Pelodiscus sinensis: one gene and its partners. The main gene of each other region encodes a partner of the protein of the gene in region 2 in a complex. Links are inferred from orthologs where the notes say so. Each region holds a gene or a part of one and is shown on either strand. Other genes may lie near its edges.

Region 1 (7,413 bases), on a different chromosome or scaffold from region 2:
TTAATGGTTCAAAGAATGTCAGGCAAAATGGTCGGCCCTCACGCTTGTTCACTTCATCAAATCTGGCCCTCTTTGAAAAAAAGTTTGGGCACCCCTGCCTTAAGCAAATAACTTTTCAAGTTCAGTGGAATAAGCATTTGGGGATTTCCAAGAAAGGCATTGTATTACAAGAGAAAAGGACACAAACATTCCAGTTTCACGTTAGCAACACAGTAAAAGTCAGCCTGCCATATTCTATTTGATGTCTAGTTAATTCAGAAGATGTAGGAATCTCAATTGAGTATCCAACACTACTCTATTGATGATTTAACAAGCATTTGCACAGGGGACCATAAAATGCTCTGTCCTCACCCGAGGCTTATCTTAATATCTATGGATTGCTCAGTTTCATTACAGATGACAAGTAACATTTCCAATTAATTCTTTGCAGGAGAAAGGAATTTATGAAGCCACCCACCTCCACTGTCTGACAACAGGATCTAATTTCAATTCATGTTAAAATTCCACTTAAATATATTTCCAGTTTAAATACTGCCATTGTTGATTCTCTTGTAAAAGCTATTTCTCAATTAGTTGCAAGGAGGCACTCAAGTAGTTGATCTATGCAGAAGATTTGTTTAAATCTCTTATCCTCCAATTACTTGTTATTACTTCATTCAGAGCAATTACCATGGAACTCCTCTGCATGAAGAAACTGCATGGCAAACAACATCTCAAACTTCACAGGAAGAAACCAAATGTGAAGCTACTAATTAATTGGTTTACTTTTTAAGACCTCAAGAAGCTTAAAAGTTTTATATTAAACATAAAAATATTTTGTTGACTATTTTAGTTAGTGTGAAGATAAGAGTTCTAATTCTAACTCTGTCCACCTTAGATAAACATTTACTCTGCTTCAGATTCCTATTAGAATTGGTAGAAAAATAAAGCCATTTTCATGGAAAAGCTGAGATGTTCAAAACTGACCTTTTTAACTACAAACTTTTGGGGGGGGTGCAGAAAAACTCTGTTTTGGAAACTTGGGGGGTTTGTTTATATTTTAAAGCAAAATGGGCACAGTCATTCTTAAGCCACATATATAAAGCATTTTCAAAATAGGCTTTTTTTTAAACATCAGGCTTTGTTCAAAGAGGTAGCTAGCTCATTATGTATTTACAATATACTAATACTTAGAGATCAATCAAATTGCAGGCCTATTGTACTAGTCATTGTACAGACAGAGGAAACAGTCTCTGACCCCAAAAGCTTACAATCCAAGAGGCAAAATAAAACAGGTAAGAGAAATGTTCAAGCACAGTGGTAGAGGACAGGCGGAGAGGAAGAGTCTTGGGAAATAGACAATAAATGCACAGTTCTTAGGCAAGGCAAGGTTTGTAATTACATATCACTGCCCACCTAGAAATTTTCAGGCTGTGGTTTTCAGTATCTGCACAGGTATGTTTTGAGGAATGACAGAGGAAAATATAGTGACTTTACAAGTTTGGACAGGAAGGTTTGCTACTCCTCATGCACAAGGAGGAGATAGTACCACAAGAATTCAATTAAGCCTAGCATTAGTTAAGTAAAGATAGGGAACAAATTAGAAGGATTGTCAATGTACGTTTGTCTATGATGAGTTTGGAGAAGGAGAAGCCAATGAAGGGACTTAAGAATGGAATGGGGTGGGGAAGAAATGACAATCAAGCCTAGCTCCTTATCTTTGCTCCTGCATTAAATGCAGACAGTTTGCAAGCATCAAGGCCAGACAAGATTAGTGCAGTAGTCAAGTGATATAGGAGGATCCTGACAGCATGTGACCAGTAGTTCATAGAAGTAAATGACCAGCACTACTGACCTGAAACAGAAGTGTCCAGAGGGAATCACCAAGCAACTGTACAGATATTGCATAAGTCACTTAGGAAGAGAAATACATTTTGTTGTAGGTTCCTTACACTCTACCTCCACCCAGAACTGGTTCTGAAACTTTACTATAGTATGTATATTACTGGGGTTCTCGTGTAACACTCTACCTCCACCCAGAACTGGTTCTGAAACTCTACTATAATATGTATATTACTGGGGTTCTCGTGTAACACTCTACCTCCACCCAGAACTGGTTCTGAAACTTTACTATAATATGTATATTACTGGGGTTCTCGTGTATTTTTCTGCTTTTGCAAGGCAAAGGTAGACTACACAAGCTAGACATACTTAAAGTGAAAACCCATCCAGCGACACAGCAACACTCCTTTGCAAAGCAGAGTGAGTTTTCAGGCCCTGGGTACGTACCACTTGCTCTCGTTCTTCACTGCAGAGTCCAGAAAAGCCACTTCAGTGTCACAAGACAAGAGCAATGTGTCGGTTTTGGCATGAGGCCTACGTGACAATTAAGCGACTGCGCTAAGGGAAGCGCTGTGCTGGTCTGGCCGGCTACAGGCCTCCCGTTGCCCAGTCCAGCCACGCACCTTCCGCGCCCCACCGACGCCGCTGGGCAGAGCCCCCCCGCAGACGGCGGGGAGGACGCCACCGCGTGCCCCTCGGAGCGGGGGGCTACGGGCGGGCCGCAGGTCCCACATTCAGCCGCGCTGTGCACGGATGCGGAGCCCCCCCCATGAGGCGGGGCCCGCGAGGGGGACACGGCGCCCGCCCGCGTCTGGAAACTTTTCCGCGGCTCCTGTTACCTGCAGCGGCTCGAGCAACAATCGCTGAGGGGCCGGGCGGGAAACGCCCTTGGGGCCCTCCCGCGGGGGGGGGCTCACTGCGGGGCCCCTCCCCCCAGGCCGAACAAAGCCGGGGCGGGGGCTGAGGCGGCGGCTCCCCCCCCCGCTGTGAGGAGCGGGCCGCTTCGCGCCAGACCCGGGCGGCTCCAGGGGCCCCGCTGGCGGGGGGCGGGGGGGGAGTTCCCCACTCGGCCGGGAAGTTACCTGCGGGTCCCGGAGGCGCCGCTGGAGCCGGGGTCGGAGCCGCCTCAGCCGCTTTGTCTCTGCGCCGCGCCCGTCCCGGCCGGAGAGGAGGAAATGGGCCCTTCCGGGCACCTCCCCTTACGGCCCGGCCGGCTCTTCCGGGCACCTCCCCCGGCAGCTCGCCCGGCTCTTCCCGGGACCGCCCGCCCCGCGCAGGTGAGAGGCTGGGAGCTCGTCCCACGCGCGGCGGGCGGAGCGGCCGGGGTGGGAACAGCGCGCAGGGGGTGAGTCAGAGTTTCAGGTGAGAGGAAGGTGCCTGCGCGGCTGGCGCTGGGGCGGCCTGGGGGGCAGGGGCGTGGAGTGGTAGGGATGGAAATAAGGGGGCAGAGGGCGAGGGGGCAGGGAGTGGGGTGAGATGGGGGCAGAGAGGGATGATGGGGCAGAGGGCTGGGGGGCAGGGAGTGGAGTGAGATGGGGCAGATGGCTGGGGGGCAGGGAGTGGAGTGAGATGGGGCAGAGGGCTGGGGGGCAGAGAGGGATGATGGGGGCAGATGGCTGGGGGGCAGTGAGTGGGGTGAGATGGGGGGGCAGATGGCTGGGGGCAGACAGGGATGATGGGGCAGAGAACTGGGGGGGCAGGGAGTGGGGTGAGATGGGGGCAGATGGCTGGGGGGGCAGTGAGTGGGGTGAGATGGGGGGCAGTGGACCTGGCTCCATGGCACAGGAAGTTCAAGCTATTAATAGGGTCTTCCCTATGGGAATAAGGTGCATCCTGGTGGCTGCAGAGGGTGTGGCTAGAGGAGGCAGAATGAGACAGGACAGCTCCAAGAGTCAATGTTCAGGTCTAGATTTCAAGTCCCAAGGCAGTGAGGTTAGGCCAGGGGCTCTCATTGTGCATTACACAGTAAACTCTTTCTGACAACAAAAATGATGACATGTTCCCACGATGGTGAACCAAAGCCTGAGCTTTCCTGAACGGGGCGGGGAAAGGAGAAACCAAAGCCAAAGTCCTGCTGCTCCAGTGCGGGGTGGGGAGAGGTGAAGCCCAAGAGCTTCAGCCGCTCGCAGGGGGGCTGTAACCTGAGCCTTGCCATCCAGGGCTAAAGCCTTCAGTCTTCTCCTTTATCCCTGGGCCACAGCAAATCTAACATCAATCTTGGTGACCCCATTAAAATGGAGTTGCAGCCCATTTTGGGGTCCCAACCCACAGTCTGAGAACCACTGGGCTAGGCATTGGCTCTGGGATTTGGGTCAGCATTTCACAGACTGATGCCCAGTTATGAAGTTTGGATCAAATCTGGGTTCAGATTTCAGCCTCTCGTCTGGTGAAGGGGTTTAGATCTGGCATTTGACCTAGTCCAATGTCAGGCACCAGAGGAGAAATTCAAATCTGGACCTAATTCCGTAAGGGGGGGGTCCAAAATCTACCACCCCACTACTATAATGATGAGCAGTGCTTAGATAGATAAACCTATCCATAACACTTGCACTCCATATCTCCTCTGAACCAGAATCACTGGAGATTACTCAAACCTAACTACATTGGACTATTGAACAAACAGGTCATACTCTCTTTCACTCTTTAACTTCAGTGGGTGAAGAAAACTTAGGGCTCCATTTCACTTTCCTATCAAAGGCGTGTGTGATAGTATCATCTGTTTCACCTAAACCGCTGTTCCTGTTTTGGGTGCTGTGGTTTCACACCACACTTCCTAGAGTTTCACATATAAATAAAGCTAGCCTCAGTCAAAATCTGTCTTACTGTACTTGCTTTCATAAGAGCATTAGGCAAAAGGGTGCAACACTCACCTGTGATCTCAGTTCATGCGGTTTTGGGTTCAGGCCCAACGCTACTTCTGAGTGAAGTTTCCAGAAAACTTGGGTTGCTTTAAGATTTCACAGGGGCAAAGAGGGAAATGCCCTGGGCAGGACCTAGTGATGCAAAAAGGCCCAAAGATCTTGCTGCGGGTACTGCAGCAGCGGAGGCAGTGAGAGCCCCAAGTCCTTTAAATCGCTGCCAGAATGAGACGCAGTGCGCTCTGTCCGGCACTATGGCTGGGAGGGAGGCACAGTGCTTTCTGGGCAGTACTGAGGGCTCCCTTCTACTTGAGGCTCCACACCTGCCTTGCCCAGGTCCTGGCGAGGCTGTTGACCCTGCCAATTTCACATCTAATGCTTGGAAAATGTACCCTTTTGCTCAGTGCTGAGACCAAAGCAGGTGCAGTAAGGCTAGTTCTTTTAAAACCCAAGGGGGAGAGAATGTAAAACCACAGGAACCAAAACCAGGAGAGGTTTAGGTGAACTTTACATACATATAATGGCTTTAGAATGGTTCAGACCAACCTGGGGTCACATTGATGTTCTAAGATCACATTGGTATTCAAAATCCACATTGGAACTTTTGGATCTGGGCAATTCTCCAGTTCCATGTTTTTTGAACCTTAACATTGTTTGATAAACATGGGCAGAGTTCTGAAGTTGTCAAAGCTTGACAGCAGACATGATTTGTGTGTTTCAAGTTTCATAATAAAAGTTTGATGTGTCTTTACTTTTTATAGTCTCTAGAACAAAAGTGGAGGGTAGCAGGTGGTGGGTGTATGTACACACACACACTCACTCTCTAAAATTAAAAAACAAATGTTGCAAACTCTTCTATTCCACACAGGTTTCATTTTTTTTCCTTTATAAAATCTAAATGTTATATATTAATATTTTAGATGGTGTTGCTTTTTTTTAAAGTTGCTGTTTTCATGCAAATATCTTAAATAAGGCAAATACTTTAAAGCTGTGTCATAAAAGGGCTGTCAAAGCTGTGATAAAGCAAACAAGGAAGATTTGAGGAAATGATGCATATTATTTTAAATGTTTCGTTGAATCAGAGCAAGAACCTTCATCAGAAGAGAACAGACTTTTAAGAACTGACAAAGTTTAAACTAACTGAGGTAGGGTTGGCAAGTTTGTGTATGAGGAGGTTTTTTTCAAAGTCTCTCACAAAGCAGCAGTGTGAGAAATTGACCCTTTCTGTGTCATATTCAGTTGGGTTTTTATTGCTTTTCATAACACATTTTGAGATGGCTTTTTATATGAATGTTTCTATAGAAAATGATTGCATTGCAATAGTGACTGAATTAAAGTAATGTTTCATATCTCAAACATGTCAGTTACTGAGTCATCTGAATCCACGCGCTATTTCTGTTTTCTGGCCGATGTCAATCAAAAACCACAGCGAGTCTTGTCAAGGAGAATATAGCTGTGCCCTGTGTGATTTTTGCAGGGGGACACACAGCATTTCTCATCCTGATGTCCGCAGGAGCCATGCTGTGGGAACAGGAAGGATTTCAGAGCAGGCACCTATCCATGCTTTGCAAGGATGAAGGTTGAAATCCCCTTAGATCATGGCCCCCCTGATATTAACAAGTCCGTGGAAGAGATAATGCACCAGGCAGAGATTTCATATTTAATCCCTTCCCATAGGTTTAACCAAGAGCAGGGAGCAGTTAGCCCCAGGACAGAGAAAGGAGAATCGTACCCATCATCCCAAAGTCCTTAATGAAAATAGACTGCATGCAGCAAGGAAACCATCCTGTCAATTTGAGTTTTTCCACTGCAGGTCCTGAGTTCAGGACTGTAACCTTGGCTGAGAGACGATTTATTAAGATAGCACGAACTGTTCATTGACAGTCCTTTAAATAAATAGGCTCTTTAACAACAGATTTTTAAGGGCTTGGGGTATTCAGCTTGCACTAAACCATTAATATTTTCAGTGTCATTGGCAGCAGGGAATCCAATCAATTATTTTTGATCTGTAGCATATTCTCAATAAAATTCAGTCTATACTTCAATGGCTTGCTCTCTTTCATTAATTCTTTTAATATTATGTCTTGGCTTCCTGCGGTGGCTTCTGCATTCAGCACTTCCCACATGCTTTGGGGACAAAATGGTGGCTAGAAATCAGCACAACATTGCAGGCAATAATCCCTTTTAGACAACTAAGGATAGAAGATTAAGTGGCAATTCTGTTGGTTCGTGTACGTATCACAAGTTTAAATATACAGCTGTCAAAGCTAAAGATATAAAAATGAAGTCACCTCGGGGAGGAGACTGGAGTTTCTGTCCTGATTAACAGTTCTCCCTAGATTATAACAACAGGGATCTCTATCACTCTGAATAAAACAGAAGGTGTTGATCAAACAAAATGCCCATATCAACAGCAAGAACTCCTAAAAGAGAAGTCATCATTAAGAGTGAAGCAATGCTTGAAACTAGTCAAGTTAAAAAAAAAAAAAACTAGCTAAAAGTTGTCTTAAATGGTACATTTGCTGCAGAGTTCTCAATGCTAAGACTTGTGGTTTTGTAATCACATTTTTTTTTCTTTTCTCTTCTCTTTGCTATATGAAAGACACTATTACATAATAGAAGTAAAATGGGCAATACAAAATGAAGTCAAAAACAAAAAAAGCCTTTCATTCTCCAGCCTCTTTCAGGTGCAGACATTGTAGGTGCGATAGCAATAAGTAAAACTTTTCTAGAC
Region 2 (7,139 bases):
TAAGGGAGGGCTTTGTAAGATAAATAATATGGGGGCAGAGAGGGGAGTGAATAGATGCATTGCTAACTGACAAAGAGTGCTGCCAATGAACACAGGAAAAAAAATATCCTGCTGCACCCAGCACCCCTGAGAGCAGACTGCTGGGGGATTTTCCTTAACTGGAGACATTTCAATGTCACTTACTGAGCCAGAGAGAAAAGGGGATTCGTTTCTTAAAGAAAAGGCTGCTACATTACCAGGACTCTTTGGGGGAGGGAGAGGGGGGCCTGGGCTGGGGGCAGGGGTATTGATGGACTCCACCCAGCAGTTTTGACCCTCCCTAGAGTCACAGTTCCTTCCCTGCAAGAACAAAGGAGGAGGAAAATTAGATAACAGTTTTAAGATTTCATCTGCCCAAGGTAGATCTAGTCTGTGCGCGCGCACACGCACACTCCACAGGAGAAAATCTTAGAAAAGCATCACTGAAAAGATTTACAGCACATAACCCTGGGGCCAGAATTATCCCTCCTCCCAAGGAAAGGCCTGCACGCCCAAAATACTCTCTGCTTCCAAAACATATATAAGCAACTTCCCTTACTCTAAACACAAATGAAATTATGATGCAGGAAAAGAGAGCAGGATACTAGTTGCAACACCGGCCACCCCTTACTCCAATATTAAATACCTGTCTAAAGAGAGAGACATTCTCTATCCTGCTCCATGTGCCAACTAGAAGATTGGCACAGAAAGGTCACTTGTTTTGTTGGGGTGTGGAAAGAGGCTGAGGGGTCAAGGTTACACGGTTCACTCAAAGCCCAGATACTTCAAAGGTATACTTCAGGACTTAGACTTCAGGACTTAGACCTCAGTACGTGTATCAGCAGCACAAGACTGATCATAGGAAAAGGGTTTTGCAATTAGCTTTGGGTGTGGGAAGTACTTCTTTCACAGTAATAGCACCACTCAAGGCCACCCAGAGACAAGTCATTCCTAATCTACTTGTAGAAGTGTTTTTGTGTTCTTTCCCCAGCTGTCAGAGCACTTCCTCTGGGCTCCCTGGCTGTGAAAGGCTACTAAAGCCAATCATACAAATGGTTCAAACCAGCTACCCTCTTTCACAAACCCTTTATATCCAGATATGGAAGGAGTGGGGGGAAGAATAATATGTGGGGTACTAAATAGAACACCAGCCATCACTGAAACCCACAGACCCTTTCCAAACCATCCTCTAACCATTCAAAATAGAACACCCTCTTTTCTTTCTCTACTGCATCCAAGACCAAACCTCAGGTGGAGGCTGGGGGGGGAGGGAACACCATACAGGTACTTAGATATAGAATATGGATCTGTACATTTCCAGAAACTAGACTGCTTACTGTTTCTCTCACCACAAAAGTTTCCCCAGATCTCTGGCCACAATAATCTTAAGTCTAACATAAGACATCAGAAGGTCTTCACAGCAAAGTGAGAGAAAGAGAAGAGAAAGTATGTTTTTAACATATTTAGTAGACAGTGCAGACTTCCTATAATAATTGTAAACAGCAGCACAGACTGTTTCTCTGCCCCAGTTTGTTGCAATTAAATACTACACTAATTCCAGGCTTTTTGTATTTGAATGGAGGCATTAATTCTACAGATGACAACTCAGGACTAGAAACTAGCTGCATGTCCTAGTTCCCAATGAGCTGGCTACAGAAGTACATTTTTAGCAGTATCTAAAAGCCTCAAACCTCCACACACTTCCAAGAGACTGAACGCAAGAGCTCAAGGAAAGTTACAGAGAAACAATTATTTAAAAAAAAATACAATCTGTTAGACTGAGTTCCTAAAGTAACTGCTTCAAAATAAGTTTGCTTAAAGCCTCTCTTAAAGTTTGCCTTCTTCCCCATTACGTGTTAAAATAAGCCACGGCTTAGGTGGAGAGTGCTGACCAGGTTTTGATTGCAAGTCTTAGCCTCTGCTAAGTGTGGCAGTCATTCCACACCCATTTCAAGTTGTTGATTATAATTTAGAACCCGTGAAAAATATCCTTTCCCCCTCTCCCCCCGCTCAAGCCTTTTTTAACTCCACCTAAAGATTAAGAGGTTATAACTCAACATGGATTCTCTTTAGAAGGCTAAGAGGAGAAAGGCCCGCACCCAACTGCACCTGGGGGAAAAAATGGGATCCACCCAAGCAGAAAGTGTGGATTTTAGACATGGAAAGAATGGACCGCAACACTCCCAACAAGAACACCACTTAATAAAAAACACTTGATCAACTCCACAACCTTCCTACTGCAGCTCAGTTTTCCCAAAGTTTTAAAGAAAACATATTAAAGGGTGCAAATAAAACCAAGAGCCCACTTCGCAAACTGGATCACATTCCTCCCCCAGCCTGCTCAGAAGACACCACAAAAAACAACAGCTCCCCAGCAATTCAACCCAGGCAGAGTTGTTAGCTTGCAGTACAAAAGGAGCAAAAATCCAAAGTGAACAACAGGCGTTAAAACAAGAGATGAGATTTTTTTTTTAAAGCAACAAAAAAAACCAACATGATTCTTACCCTGGCTTTCTCCCTTCTCAGGGGCTGCGCTGGCGAAATCCAGGAGTTTGTTTCTCCACCTTGTGAGGTTTTTTTTTTTTTTTTTTTTTTTTTGAGTACCAGGGGGGGAAGAAATAAAAGCAAAATAAATTTTAAAAGTTGTCAGTGCGGCTGTTCCTCTGCCTTATAACTTCCCTTCTAATCTCTCAGGGTGACAATATGCCAGTCTCCAACAAAAATTCCCCTTGGGCGAGAGCTTTTTTTTGGGGAGGGGGGGTCGCTTTGCAAACACACAAAACTCTATGGTGGACTTCTCCAACAAATCTCTAAAGGAAACGCAAGAAGCAAAACCCGGCCAAAATGTGTTTTAAAAAAAGAAAACCAATAAATGTAGTGATTTTTTCTCCACCTCTTTCTCTTCTGGGATCCTTCCTGGCTTTTCCCCCCTCGCCTCCTCTTTCAGATCCAACACCTAAAATGGAAGTTGCACCCGACCCAGCCAAAGACAAGCTGACGGGGGTGATGGTAACAAACTGAGCTTTCCAAGCCCAACGCCCAACCCCTCTTTCCCTAAGTGATGTCAGCGTCTACGAAGCTCCAATGGGAAGCAGGCATCAATAAGGGACCCGGCATTATCCAATAGGAAACTTTATTGTAGGGAATAGAAAAAAGAAAAGAAAAAGGGAGCAAAACCAACAAAAGGAGGAGGGCAGAAAATAACTTTTGGGGGTGGGGGAGGAAAGAAAATAAAAATATATTACAAAAATCAGTTGCAAGGAAGGAGGTTAAAACAGGCTTGGCATGATGATAAATGTGTTGATATGATCTGCAATACACAGTCCAGTCTCTTTTTATCGTTTGTGTTTCTTTCTCCCACTCATCTCCTCTGCCTGTTTGCAAATGAGAATAAATAACTTCATTTTTATATATCGCCTGTGCTATTTATGTGTAAATATATTTTCATCTTTGTAAGTATCACCTGAAAAGGAGGGAAAACAATGGTACAAAAAGATGGGTGGGAAGGTGTTTGGATCTGGGGAGAACTGAGGATTTAAAATTCAACCTTGAGTCTATTGTTTTTGTTTTAATTATGTGAGCCTAGATTGTGTGAGCCTAGATTGTGTGATCAGCTCTTGTTTGGCTTTTGCTGGTGGCAATTAAGAAACTGAATTTAAAAATCTAGAGTGGATAAGGAATTTACTTCACTCCTTTTCCTTTCATATCAGTGAAGAAAATAGCTATTTTACTTTGCATTACTAATTTAATCCAATTCACAGTTTATAGATTCCAGACCATCAATTAAGAGAGAGACAGAGACAAAAGTTCTAACAAGTTTTCTTTCATCATAGCCCTAAAAGTTGTTTATTCTGATTATATTTGCAAATAAGTGTCAAACTGGAAGGTACATAGTGCAATGTGGTGCACCAGATTAAGCGGGGGATTTGCTGGCAGGGGGGCATTACCTAGATATTTCTATAAAGTTTTTTGAAGAGTACAGGATCTTTTGAAAAAGGGTTTTATTTTCAAAAGATCCCTGTTTAAACACTTGTTTTTCTTTCAAAAAGCCCATTTAAAAAAAAAAATGTGGCCGCCATTATGCAAATGAAGCGTGGGAAATTTAAATCCTGGCTTCATTTGCAATTTCGAAGTGTCTAACTTACATCCCTTTTTCGAGAAAAGGGATGTAATCTAGACACAGCTTCAGGGTGCAGTACAAGGAATGGAAGGGGAGAAAGAGGGTCAGGTTTCAGGAGTAACTATTAGTTTGGTGTGACAGCAGGTGCAATACTAGACCGAGCTGCTACCAAACACAAGCCCTTTAACACTCGTTGTTGGCCTCTGTCTATGTTCAACAAAGATCTCTTCACTACAGCTCTGTCAGCCTGCTGCATCATATATCGCTTATGAAACATAGGCACATCAGTGTAGACTGGCCATCTGCTACTTTTTCTCCCCTGTTCTGTGCTTAGAGCGGGTCTAAAAGACACAGTGGTGAAATCAGTGATGAACTTGGCCTACATTAGAACATTCGCCCTGCCTTGTACTGAGAGCTCAGCAGATCCTTCCTCCCAGAATCCAACAGGACCAAGAGAGGTTGCCAGTACCAAGCACAATAGCGAAGTAGACAATATGCCACTTAAATCAACAGATGATGCAAAGGGGTCTGGTATTATTTCCATTGACTTCAAGCGGAGTAGGACTAGGCACTTAAGGGAGAGTGTTGTACACAGCTTTTAAAAATCTCAGAGGGGTAGCCATGTTAGTCTGTAAGGCTACGTCTACACTGCAATGCTATTTCGGGATACTGAAGTATCCTGAAATAGCTATCTCGCGTCTTCTCAGCAAGCCTATGCGGGCTCGCTATTTCGACGTTACTGTAAACCTCATTCTATGAGGCATAAAGGACATTTCGGAATAGCACTTTAATTTGAAATTTGGCACCAAATGACGAAATAAGCTATTTTGAAATAGCATCAAAATGAGATACGCAATTTGCATAGCCGAAATTGCGTATCTTATTTCGAGTTACAGTGCTGTGTAGGTGCACCCTAACTGAAAAAACTTTAAAAACAACGAATGGTCCTGCAGCGCTTTAGAGACTATCTACATTTTTTGTTAGTCTCTAAGGCTGCGTCTAGACTGGCATGATTTTGCGCAAATACTTTTAACGGAAAAAATTTTCCGTTAAAAGTATTTGTGCAAGAGAGCGTCTATACTGGCATGTGCCTTTGCGCAAAAGATTTGCTTTTGTGCAAAAGCATTCGTGCCAGTGTAGATGCTCTCTTGCGCAAGAAAGCTCCAATGGCCATTTCAGCAATCGGGCTTTCTTGCACAAGAAATTAACGTGGCTGTCTACACTGGCCCTCTTGCGCAAGAATACTTGCGCAAGAGGGCTTATCTCTGAGCAGGAGTGTCGGAGTATTTGCGCAAGAACTGTTGATTTTGTACATTACAAAGTCAGTGTTCTTGCGCAAATACTCGTGGCCAATGTAGACAGGTGGCAAGATTTTGTGCAAAAGCATTTGCTTTTGCGCAAAATCATGCCAATCTAGATGCATCCTAAGGGTTACTGCAGGATATTTCGTTGTTTTTTAAGTACACAGCATTGAGTGTAGAGAAATAATTCAAAGGGATCTAGAGAGTCAAGAGATGGGGTAGGAAATAACAACACGTTAGCTTTGAAAACTACAGCTAGTCCAGCTGAAGACACCTGTTTCCAAAGTCTAACACTTTGTGTGGGGGAGAAACCAAGGAAGCATTACTGCTTTCAGAGACTTAGGACTGGCAGCTACTGCTTAAAGTAGACAGGAGCTGGAAGCAAAAGAAACTGGAGTGATTGGAGGCTGAGCACTTCACCACACAAAACGGGAAGGTGACAGCTTTAACTGTGGGTCTGAGTGGAACCACATCTGGAATATTGGAACTAATTCTTGGATCCACAGCACAAAGGGGCTGTAATGCTGGATTAAATAGCTGCCTAGGAATTTCCCAAGTCCAGGGGGAAACCCAAGTGATGTAGAGTCTACATGGCTCAATTCACACCCTACCCCTACTCCCAGCTGGCCTCAGAATCTAGAAACCATAAAGATGACATAAACCCTCTTTGCTGCCCCCCGCCCCTACTCAGGTGAACGTGTTCAGTTCTGAGTACCATGTCACCAGAAAGTTATTGACAAGACAGAGGGAGATGAGGAATGAACAGCAGATTGATTTATGGGGAAAGATTAAAAGAGGTAAATATGTGTATAGCTTGGTCAAGCAAGGAGTACATGATAACAATAACAGCCTGCAAATATTTGAAGAGAGTAATCCCCAGTGAGGGAGAGAAAGAGGCTGGTACACAAGGGAGACAGCAAAGAGGAATGGGATGATATTTTAAAAAGGAAGCAGTTAGGACAATTATCTGGAAAAACCTCCCTACTGTGAGGTTTGATCTGCTGCAGATTCACAATGGGCACGTCTACACTGTGGCACTATTTCAGGATACTTCCAGTATCCTGAAATAGCTATTTTGCGTCTTGACAGCACGCCCATTATTTCAAAATTGCTTTTGAAATAATATTTTCAAATAGCTCACTATTCTGACATCCCTGTAAACCTCGTTCCATGAGGATTAAGAGACATTTTGGAATAGCGGTTTATTTCTAAATTTGACGTGAAGACAGTGTCAAATTACAAAATAAGCTATTTCAAAATACACTCGAAAAAAGCTACGCAATTTGTGGAACTCAAATTGCATAGCTTATTATGAGCACAAGTGCAGTGTAGACATACCCAAAGGTATTTAGGCACCTAACTTTCATGAGGATCTGTGCCTTCAAGCCTGTGAATTCCTCCCCATCCCACTAAAGAGGAGAGTTAAGAACATCCTTGTCCTCCTCCTTTTCTTCCAGCACTGAATCAAAGGGCCAACAAGAGGGACTGCAGCAGGAGCATGCAGGAAACAGCACTTCAGGGACTGCTCTAGTTCAGCTCTCCTATGCAGTGCTATCCACCCTGTCCATCTTCCTTGGCAGGAGGCTCCTTCACTTCACTTCCAATTTCTTATGCGGGGAGAAAGAGATAATAAATTATTCTCCCCCTCCAACCTGAATTATGGGTCCTACTCAAGGGCAGAGAGACCTTGCACCTCCAAT
Region 3 (7,764 bases), on a different chromosome or scaffold from region 2:
ACATAACCCCAGGGGGCTAAGGACTTTTTCAGCCTTGCCGATAAAGAGGTAACAAGAACCAATGTCTGGAAATTGATATCAGACAAATTTAATCTTGAAATATGGCAATTTCTAACAGTGAAGCTAATTAAGGGTTGGAACGAATGGCTTACCAGGAGAAATAGTGAATCCAAACTCTTAAAATCTTTAAAATGCAATTTTCTTTCTTAAAGACATGCTCTAATCCAGTTTCTGGGGTAAATTCTACAGGCTATGTGATCATCACAGTAGTGCCTTCTGGCCTTAGTCTATGAAATATGCACATATAATCATGGTAATTGTGCGTGTTTTTTTAGGAGTACGAGCATAGCAGACTTACCCTGCATTGCCCGGATCCTTCAAAGCAGAAGGGTGGTGGTGTGGGGGAGGGAGTGCAGGACTGAGGGAAGGGCTTTCAGGATATAGAGCGGATGGAGGAGCCTGGGACAGGCGGGTATAAGAGTGAGGTCTGGAGGGTAAGGAGGGGCTCAGGAGAGGGGGGCTTTTTTCTCCCCCAGCTGTCCCCCCACTGCCAGGGGCCTTTTTTCTCCACCTCTGGCACTGTGCTAAAGGGGGGAAAGGTTTGGGGTCAGGGGAGCTACTTTGTGTGCTAGCAGGCAAGATAGGAGAGCCCCAATCCTGCTGGTCACTTTCCTGGTGGTATAGTTGCTGCCAGTGAACACTCTGCACTGCAGCATAGCTCTTCCCTGCAGTCTCTCTGCCCCCAATGGAAACTGATATCCCTCCAAACAGCAGCCCATCCCTTTGCATTTTATGGAAAACTGTCCTTCTGCCAGGACTTCCAGTTGTCCTGGAACAACCAAACCCTGACCTTGCTTTTAAGTTAGGAGAAGAGGAAATTGTAGTTAAGAGAAGAGGAAACTTTATACAGGCAGTCCCCGACTTACGCGGATCGGACTTACGTCGGATCCGCACTTACGAACGGGGCTTTCTCGCCCCGGAGGTCGAGGTAGCAGATTGCTACCTGTGAGCTCCGGGGCGAGAAAGCCCCGTTCGTAAGCTGCTCCGGTGCCCCTGGTCTGCTGGAGACCGTCTCCAGCAGACCAGAGGCACCGGGCGGGTTCCCGCGCTTCTGAGGCTTTGCCAGAGCAGAGCCTCAGAAGCGCGGGGAACCGCCGCTGCTGCCGCTTGAGTCCCGGTGCCTGTGGTCTGCTGGGGACCGTCCCCAGCAGACCACAGGCACCGGGACTCAAGCCGCAGCCGCGGGGGGGTCCCGCACCTCTGAGACTTTGCCAGAGCAAAGCCTCAGAGGCGCGGCACCCCGCTGCCGCTGCGGCTCTGCTCCCCGTGTCCCTGGTCTGCTGGGGGGGGCACGGCTAGTGTGCCCCCCCCCAGCAGACCAGGCTTTTGTTTTGGACCCTGGAGCAGAGCAGCTGGGGCGCTGCGGATTGGTCCTGCAGCGCCCGCTCTGGGCACTACTGGACCAACCCGGCAGCACCCCAGCTGCTCTGCCCCAGGTCCTGATTCAGCCGCTGCTGGTCAGTTTCAGCAGTGGCTGAATCAGGACGCCTGGGGCAGAGCAGCTGGGGTGCTGCTGGGTTGGTCCAGTAGCGCCGAGGAGCGGTGCTACTGGAGCAACCCAGCAGCACCCCAGCTGCTCTGCCCCAGGCGTCCCCAAGTCAGCCACTGCTGAAACTGACCAGCGCTGACTACAGGAAGCCGGAGGAAGAGTTGCTCTGCCCCAGGCTTCCTGGAATCAGCACTGATCAGTTTCAGCAGCAGCTGACTTGGGGAAGCTTGGGGTTCTTAAGTTGAATCTGTATGTAAGTCAGAACTGGCGGTCAGTTTCAGCAGCGGCTGAATCTGGACGCCAGTTCCGACTTACATACAGATTCAACTTAAGAACAAACCTACAGTCCCTATCTTGTACGTAACCCGGGGACTGCCTGTAGCCATAAAAGAGCACATCTATGTAAACAAGGTCTTTTCACTTTATACTGGTTTTGTATTAATTCTAGTAGTTCATAAATGAACAGGTGTGAAATATACATGTTTTTATTAAATAATCAATTGACTTTGCAATTCTGTGGGTTCTCTGGTATGCTCTTGTGTTTAAATAAGGTTCTGCAGAACCTTTCACACATGTTTAACTTCATGTGTGTCACTAGTTCCACTGCACTTAATGGGACTAGTATTATGCTTAAAAAAGCTAAGAAAAGCAGGTGTGTAAGTCTTTCTAGAACTGGGGACTGAGAATGGTATCCGGTCTTTTTAAGTGTCATTTCCATAGTTTTACCTTGTGGGAGTATCCCCATCTTGTTTGGTTACATTTTGCATGCAAGAACCTATTTGTGGGCTTGGAAGGATTAGATTTTTTTGGCAAATGTTGATGTCACAGAACATACACAAACTGACACATTTCCTTCCATGATGGTTGATATTTACAGATAGGCAAAGTAAGAAAAATTCGGTTGGAGAACATTCTAGGATTGAATTGAAAGATATAGTTTTTACTTGGCATGTGTTGATATATTCTGTTGACCACCTGCGTTGTAATGGTTATAAAACCATAACTTTTTGACTCTTAACTGTTGTCATTAAATAACTAGTGTCTGGTCGCTCCCTAACTTCTCACAACAAAGAAAACTGAAACTGATTAAAAACCCAAACGCTTAAAAATATGAAATGGTTGTAAAAACTCAAATGTTGCCAAGCCCCCCTCTTTGAGATCGGTGCCTCAGCGAAGCCGGTGGGTTGACCGGAGAACAGTTTCAAGAGCAAAGATGGGTATTTCCAAAGGGTTTTCCCCTAACACCGGCTCATCATCTCCCCCGCTCCCGCATCCCTTGCCTGTGCAAAGCTCCAGCCTCCTCCAGTGCGCGGTTCCCGACCTCCCCCTGCCCAACCTCCACGAGGCGCCCTGTCCCCCTCGCAAGCGCGGCGACCCCCACACCTACCGCCAGGAGCAGCAGCGCAGCGAGGCACCCCATGGCCAGCGGGGCAGGCGGTCCCGGGAACTCCCGCTGATGTGATCCGCGGCGGCGCTGCCTCCCAGCTTATAAAGCCGGCTGGGGGAGCAGCCGGGGCGGCCACGTGCCGCCCCCTCCCTTCCACTGCAGGGCCCGGGCGGGCGATGCAGAGGCTCCCCAGGCCGGCTGGGGGGAGCTGTCCGCCGCCTTGCAAGTCGCTACTGGAGCTGCAGGCAGACCCGCCCCCCTAGGGGTGGGGGGCACCTTGCGAGTCCGGTCCGCGCAGACGGTGTAGGAGCGTGTGGGTGGCGGGCGCGCGATTTGGGGGCACCCTCCTCCCTCACCCCCTTTCCCTGGAGGCTGCAGGGCTGCGTTGTAGGGCGCCCCGCGGCGTGAGCCTGTCCCCTCACTTCTCACCAAAGCGTGTGGCTTGGGGGGGGGGGCTCAGACTGAGGAGGGGGGGGAGAGCTCTGCCCCCAAAGCAAACTGTGGCCATGCCCGTGGCAACCCGAGGCTCGGCTCAAGGGAGGTGGTACCGTTCAATATAGGACCATGCGCTGTCCGCTCTGCTGGGCTCCACCTGGGTTATGCTTTAGGAGAACCACATGCTGACTTCCTGGGCTGGGCGGGAGGGGATGGATAAATAGTGGTATCTCTTCAGCACTACCCACCTGTTGTAGTAAAATGAGACCCCCTGGGTGAGGGAATTAGAGGTGCTACTTCATCTGGTTTGAAGTGGTTCCCATCAGATACAGGACTTAGAGTTTGGTTCAATGGTTCTCAGCACCCCGCTACACAAATTGTTCCAGCCTTGTGCATGTCTCTGATATCATCTTTCTTACTGCTGCAATAAAATAATTAACAATGTTGACACTGAAATCATCACTAGGCCTCTGAGTAACAACTTCCCTGGAAGAATGGGGCAGTTTGCCCCACCCCGTGGTTCCAGGCTCCTACAAACTCAACTAGCTGGTCTCCACATTTTCAGTTAAGGTCACATTTCTGCGGTTTTCTTCACAACCATGACAACTGGAGATTTCTTTTCAGAAGTACAAAATCTGAGAAGCTGGAGAACAACACAATATCTACAGAAAAGTGGAGTGCAGTGCCCAGGCTGCTACCGGCTAGTTTCAAGGGCACTCAGTGCCTTGCAGGAAAGAGAGGTTGCCCATAGGGTGTGTCTAGACTACAGGGATTTTTCGAAAAAAGTAGCCTTTTTTCAAAAAATATTTACCTGTGTCTAGACTGCTGCCGCGTTCTGTCGACAGTAAATCGAAAAAACTCGGCAGTTTTGTTGATGGCAGTAAACCTCATTTTATGAGAAATAATGCTATTTTCAACAGAGATCTGTCAAAAAAAGGTATGTGTGGATGTGGAAAAGGTTTTTTTCTTTTTTTTTTTAAATGCTTCCAGGAAGAAGCCCTGGTGGACACCCCTGCCAGACCTTTCACCGCCATTGTTCCTGCCTGTAGCATCTTTTAAAGGCACAGGCGCCCAGGAGTAGCATTGTGGCAGCAAGCCAGCTCCAACCAGGATCCTGACTTCTCGGCTCTTGCTGGAAGGCACACTCAGAGCCATGTCCCAGGGACAAGTTCCCCAAAGCCCTCCTGACCCTTCCAGGGACACATCCCCGCACCAAGCCAAGGGCACCAAATGCCAGGCACCCTCCTAGTCTGCGCCTGAGATCAAAGCCCTCTTGGAGTTCTGGTTGGAAGAGCAGGGAAGTCCTTAGCCATAGGCAGAGTAGGCAGTTGCCTAGGACACCAGTATTTCTGGGGCATCACTCTGTAGGGATGGACTGGAAGCAGTGGAGCATTTATAAGCAGGGGCTAAACTACTGCTTGCTATCAGACAGCTAAAAGGAGACAGCTGCCCTGTGGGTGAGTGTGCTCACTCCAATTGTTTAGCTCTGCAAGATAATTAACTGTTAACTGTTGACTTGATATGTAAATACAGCTCATGCCAGGAGGGGGAGGGAATACAAGGTGTGGCTATGTAAATCCAATTCAGCCAGGCCTGATGGACGATCAGTGTTGGAATGGAATGTGGTGTATTGTAACTAATTTGGGGATGTTGTGGGGGTCACAAATCATGCCAGCCATAAATGTGGAAACTGTAAAATATGACACCAGTGTTTGCAGGAGAGACACCCTCATTGTAAGAGGTCTCAGAGGAACAAGCCTCCCCTCTGCCATAGTTGAGTGAACTGAGTTGGGCTGGTGGGTGTAAGTAAGTGAGGAGTCTTTTTGCTAGTCTAGTAGAAGCTAGAATCATTGCAAGAGGAGTAACGGTAGTTTGAATTAGGAGTTTTAATTCAAACTACCTAGTCTGTGCTGCATGTAGCTGCGGGTAGGTACTTTGAACTAGGGGGCATTTAAAAATGGTGGCACCAGGGAACATGCAAATAAAGCCCAGGATATTTAAATTCCGGGCTTCATTTGCAAGTTCGAATGCCTACATTAGCCACCCTAGTTCGAACTAGGGTAGCAGTATAGACATACCCTAAGGGAAGCATTTTACATTGTTAACAAAAAGTTTATTTTTCTTTACAAAACAGTGATATAGGTTTTGTAACATACAACAGTGCAATAAACTGTAAGCATTTTGTCAAGCACACCTATCTCTGTTCTCTGTGTGAATGTGTACAACGGGGGGCAGAGATAGGTTTTGGGGGGAAGGCACTGGGGGCATGGGGCACACCCACATTTGGAAGGCCCTTGGGAAACTCATCGGGCTCCTTGGGAGAATCTCTCCGTCAGGGCTTCCCAAATACACAATCCCAATTGGTGGGCTTGGAGGATGGCAGCTGTCCAGGGCTGCTCAAACAGCCTCCCCTCCACATCAGCCCATGTCCCCCACACAGGGAGGAAGGCCTCCCCTTTCCTCTCCCCCAGGTTGTGCAGCACACAACAGGCAGCAATCACTTTGGGGATGTTGCGTTCACCCATGTCCAGCCGAGTGAGCAGGCATCTAAACCTGCCCTTCAGATGGCCAAAGGCGCACTTTACCTGGAAGCGAGTCTGATTCAGGTGGGCGTTAAACAGTTCCCTGCTCGAATCCAGGTGCCCAGTGAACAGCTTCGTGAGCCAGGGCATAAGGGGGTACTCCACATCGGCCACGATGGACATAGGCATCTGCACATTCCCGACTGCAAAGTTTTGCTCTGGAAAGAATGTCCCAGCCTGCGGTACAGGTATGAGTTCTGGAAGATGCAGGCATTGTGTGCCTGGCCTGACCACCTGACACAAACATCTGTGAATTGTCCCCGGTGACCAACCAGGGCCTGCAGCACCATGGAAAAGTAGCCGTTTCTGTTAATATACTGCGCTGCACAATGGGGAAGTGCGCGGATCAGGATGTGAGTCCCATTGAGTGCTCCACCGCAGTTCAGAAATCCTAGCCCTGCAAATCCAGCCACAATGGTATCCAGGTCTCCAAGGCGGACAGTCCTTGACGCAGCTCCGAATTGATGGCCGTCACCACCTGCAGAAAGGGACAAATAGAAACACATATAAGAGGAAATTAGAGGAGTTGCCTGAGCTGATGAGAGGTGCTCCCTCACCCCTCCCCGATCCCAAGAGCACCCCCTCAGGCAACCCTCCTTCCCCACCCCCCCCCCCACCACAGCAGTGAGAGGCCAGGAGGGCTTCTACCATTCCCACCCCATTCCCTCTGCCCGGTCCTGACTGTCCCCCTTATCCACCTCCCCCACTATGGACTGTCCCTAGAGAGTGACTTACCTCCATCAAGACGGCCCCAACAGTAGACCTCCCCACACCAAACTGGTGTTCCGAGCGGTAGCTGTCGGGGGTGGCCAGCTTCCATAGAGCAATAGCGACACACTTCTCCAGGGGGATGGCAGGTCGCAAGTGGGTGTCCTGACATTGTAGGGCAGGGGTGAGCCAGGCACACAGCTCCTGGAACATGCACTTCCGCATATGGCAGTTTCAGAGCCAAGCCTTGTCGTCCCCCTGCTCCCTAACAAGATGGTCCCACCAGTCTGAACTGGTGTCCAGCCTTCAAACTCCCCTCTCCAGGAATAAGTTAGGTGGTAAGGACAGTGGGGCTGCAGTTTGAGTGAAGGGCTCAAAGCTGGGCTCTGAATCCAGCTGTGCCATGAACATGATGATGGTCTCATGAAGATGCAGCAGAACTTCCAGCATCACAGTGTGGGGCCATCGCCTGCCCAGGGGCAGCTCCAGCTCCATGGCAAAAAAATGATTGAAAGCACAAAAACCAACCAGGAAACCAAATGCTATGGTGTCCCACAAAGCAGGGCACTCCAAGCAAGCACTGCAGAAGCTTTGCTGTCCCTCTAGGAGGTAGGCAAGCCAGCTGCAGGAGCAGAGGAATGGCTGTTCAGGAGGATCCCTTAAAGCACGCGTCTCTGCAAAGAGCATGCTGCAGGACCCGGAAATAAAGGCTACCCTCATGTCCTGGCAGAAATGCTTCCAGGTGCCCTTTTTTCGACAGAGCGTACAGGCAGTCTGGACGCTCTCTCTCGAAAAAGCGGATCGATTTTTCAATCTGCTTAGTGCAGTCTAAACGCTCTTTTTTGAAAGAAGCTTTTTCAAAAGATACTTTCTAAAAAGCCTCTGTCGAAAGAGGCTTGTAGTCTAGATGTACCCATAGTGTCTAAGGCATTGTCTGCATATAGGTGTAAAAGACTCTCTTTGAAAATTATGCACGTTTGAAGAGACTATTGTGAAAGCTAATAAATTATTTTTGTAGATGACATAAGGGGTCAGGACTTATATGAACAAAACTTCAACTCTAGTGAAAGCCTAATTAAACCAAAGAGTATTTCAGAAAATGT

What was found.
Region 1: CTNND1 (region 2) and CTNNA1 share a complex: the UniProt entries of both Homo sapiens proteins name them as parts of the cadherin:catenin adhesion complex. The link is inferred for Pelodiscus sinensis from reciprocal best matches to the Homo sapiens genes CTNND1 and CTNNA1.
Region 3: CTNND1 (region 2) and CDH26 share a complex: the UniProt entries of both Homo sapiens proteins name them as parts of the cadherin:catenin adhesion complex. The link is inferred for Pelodiscus sinensis from reciprocal best matches to the Homo sapiens genes CTNND1 and CDH26.

What each region holds. Positions count from the first base shown.
Region 1 is NC_134727.1:3,751,209-3,758,621, forward strand, and holds the start of CTNNA1 (catenin alpha-1), read right to left. Parts: upstream 3,063-7,413; 5' UTR 2,904-3,062; intron 2,683-2,903; exon of another isoform or gene 2,661-2,682; intron 2,539-2,660; exon of another isoform or gene 2,269-2,538; intron 1-2,268. UniProt on the Homo sapiens protein: Associates with the cytoplasmic domain of a variety of cadherins. The association of catenins to cadherins produces a complex which is linked to the actin filament network, and which seems to be of primary importance for cadherins cell-adhesion properties.
Region 2 is NC_134714.1:128,674,744-128,681,882, reverse strand, and holds the start of CTNND1 (catenin delta-1), read right to left. Parts: upstream 3,058-7,139; 5' UTR 2,912-3,057; intron 2,583-2,911; 5' UTR 2,524-2,582; intron 1-2,523. UniProt on the Homo sapiens protein: Key regulator of cell-cell adhesion that associates with and regulates the cell adhesion properties of both C-, E- and N-cadherins, being critical for their surface stability.
Region 3 is NC_134728.1:11,396,975-11,404,738, forward strand, and holds the start of CDH26 (cadherin-like protein 26), read right to left. Parts: upstream 3,024-7,764; 5' UTR 2,970-3,023; coding exon 2,937-2,969; intron 1-2,936. UniProt on the Homo sapiens protein: Cadherins are calcium-dependent cell adhesion proteins. They preferentially interact with themselves in a homophilic manner in connecting cells; cadherins may thus contribute to the sorting of heterogeneous cell types.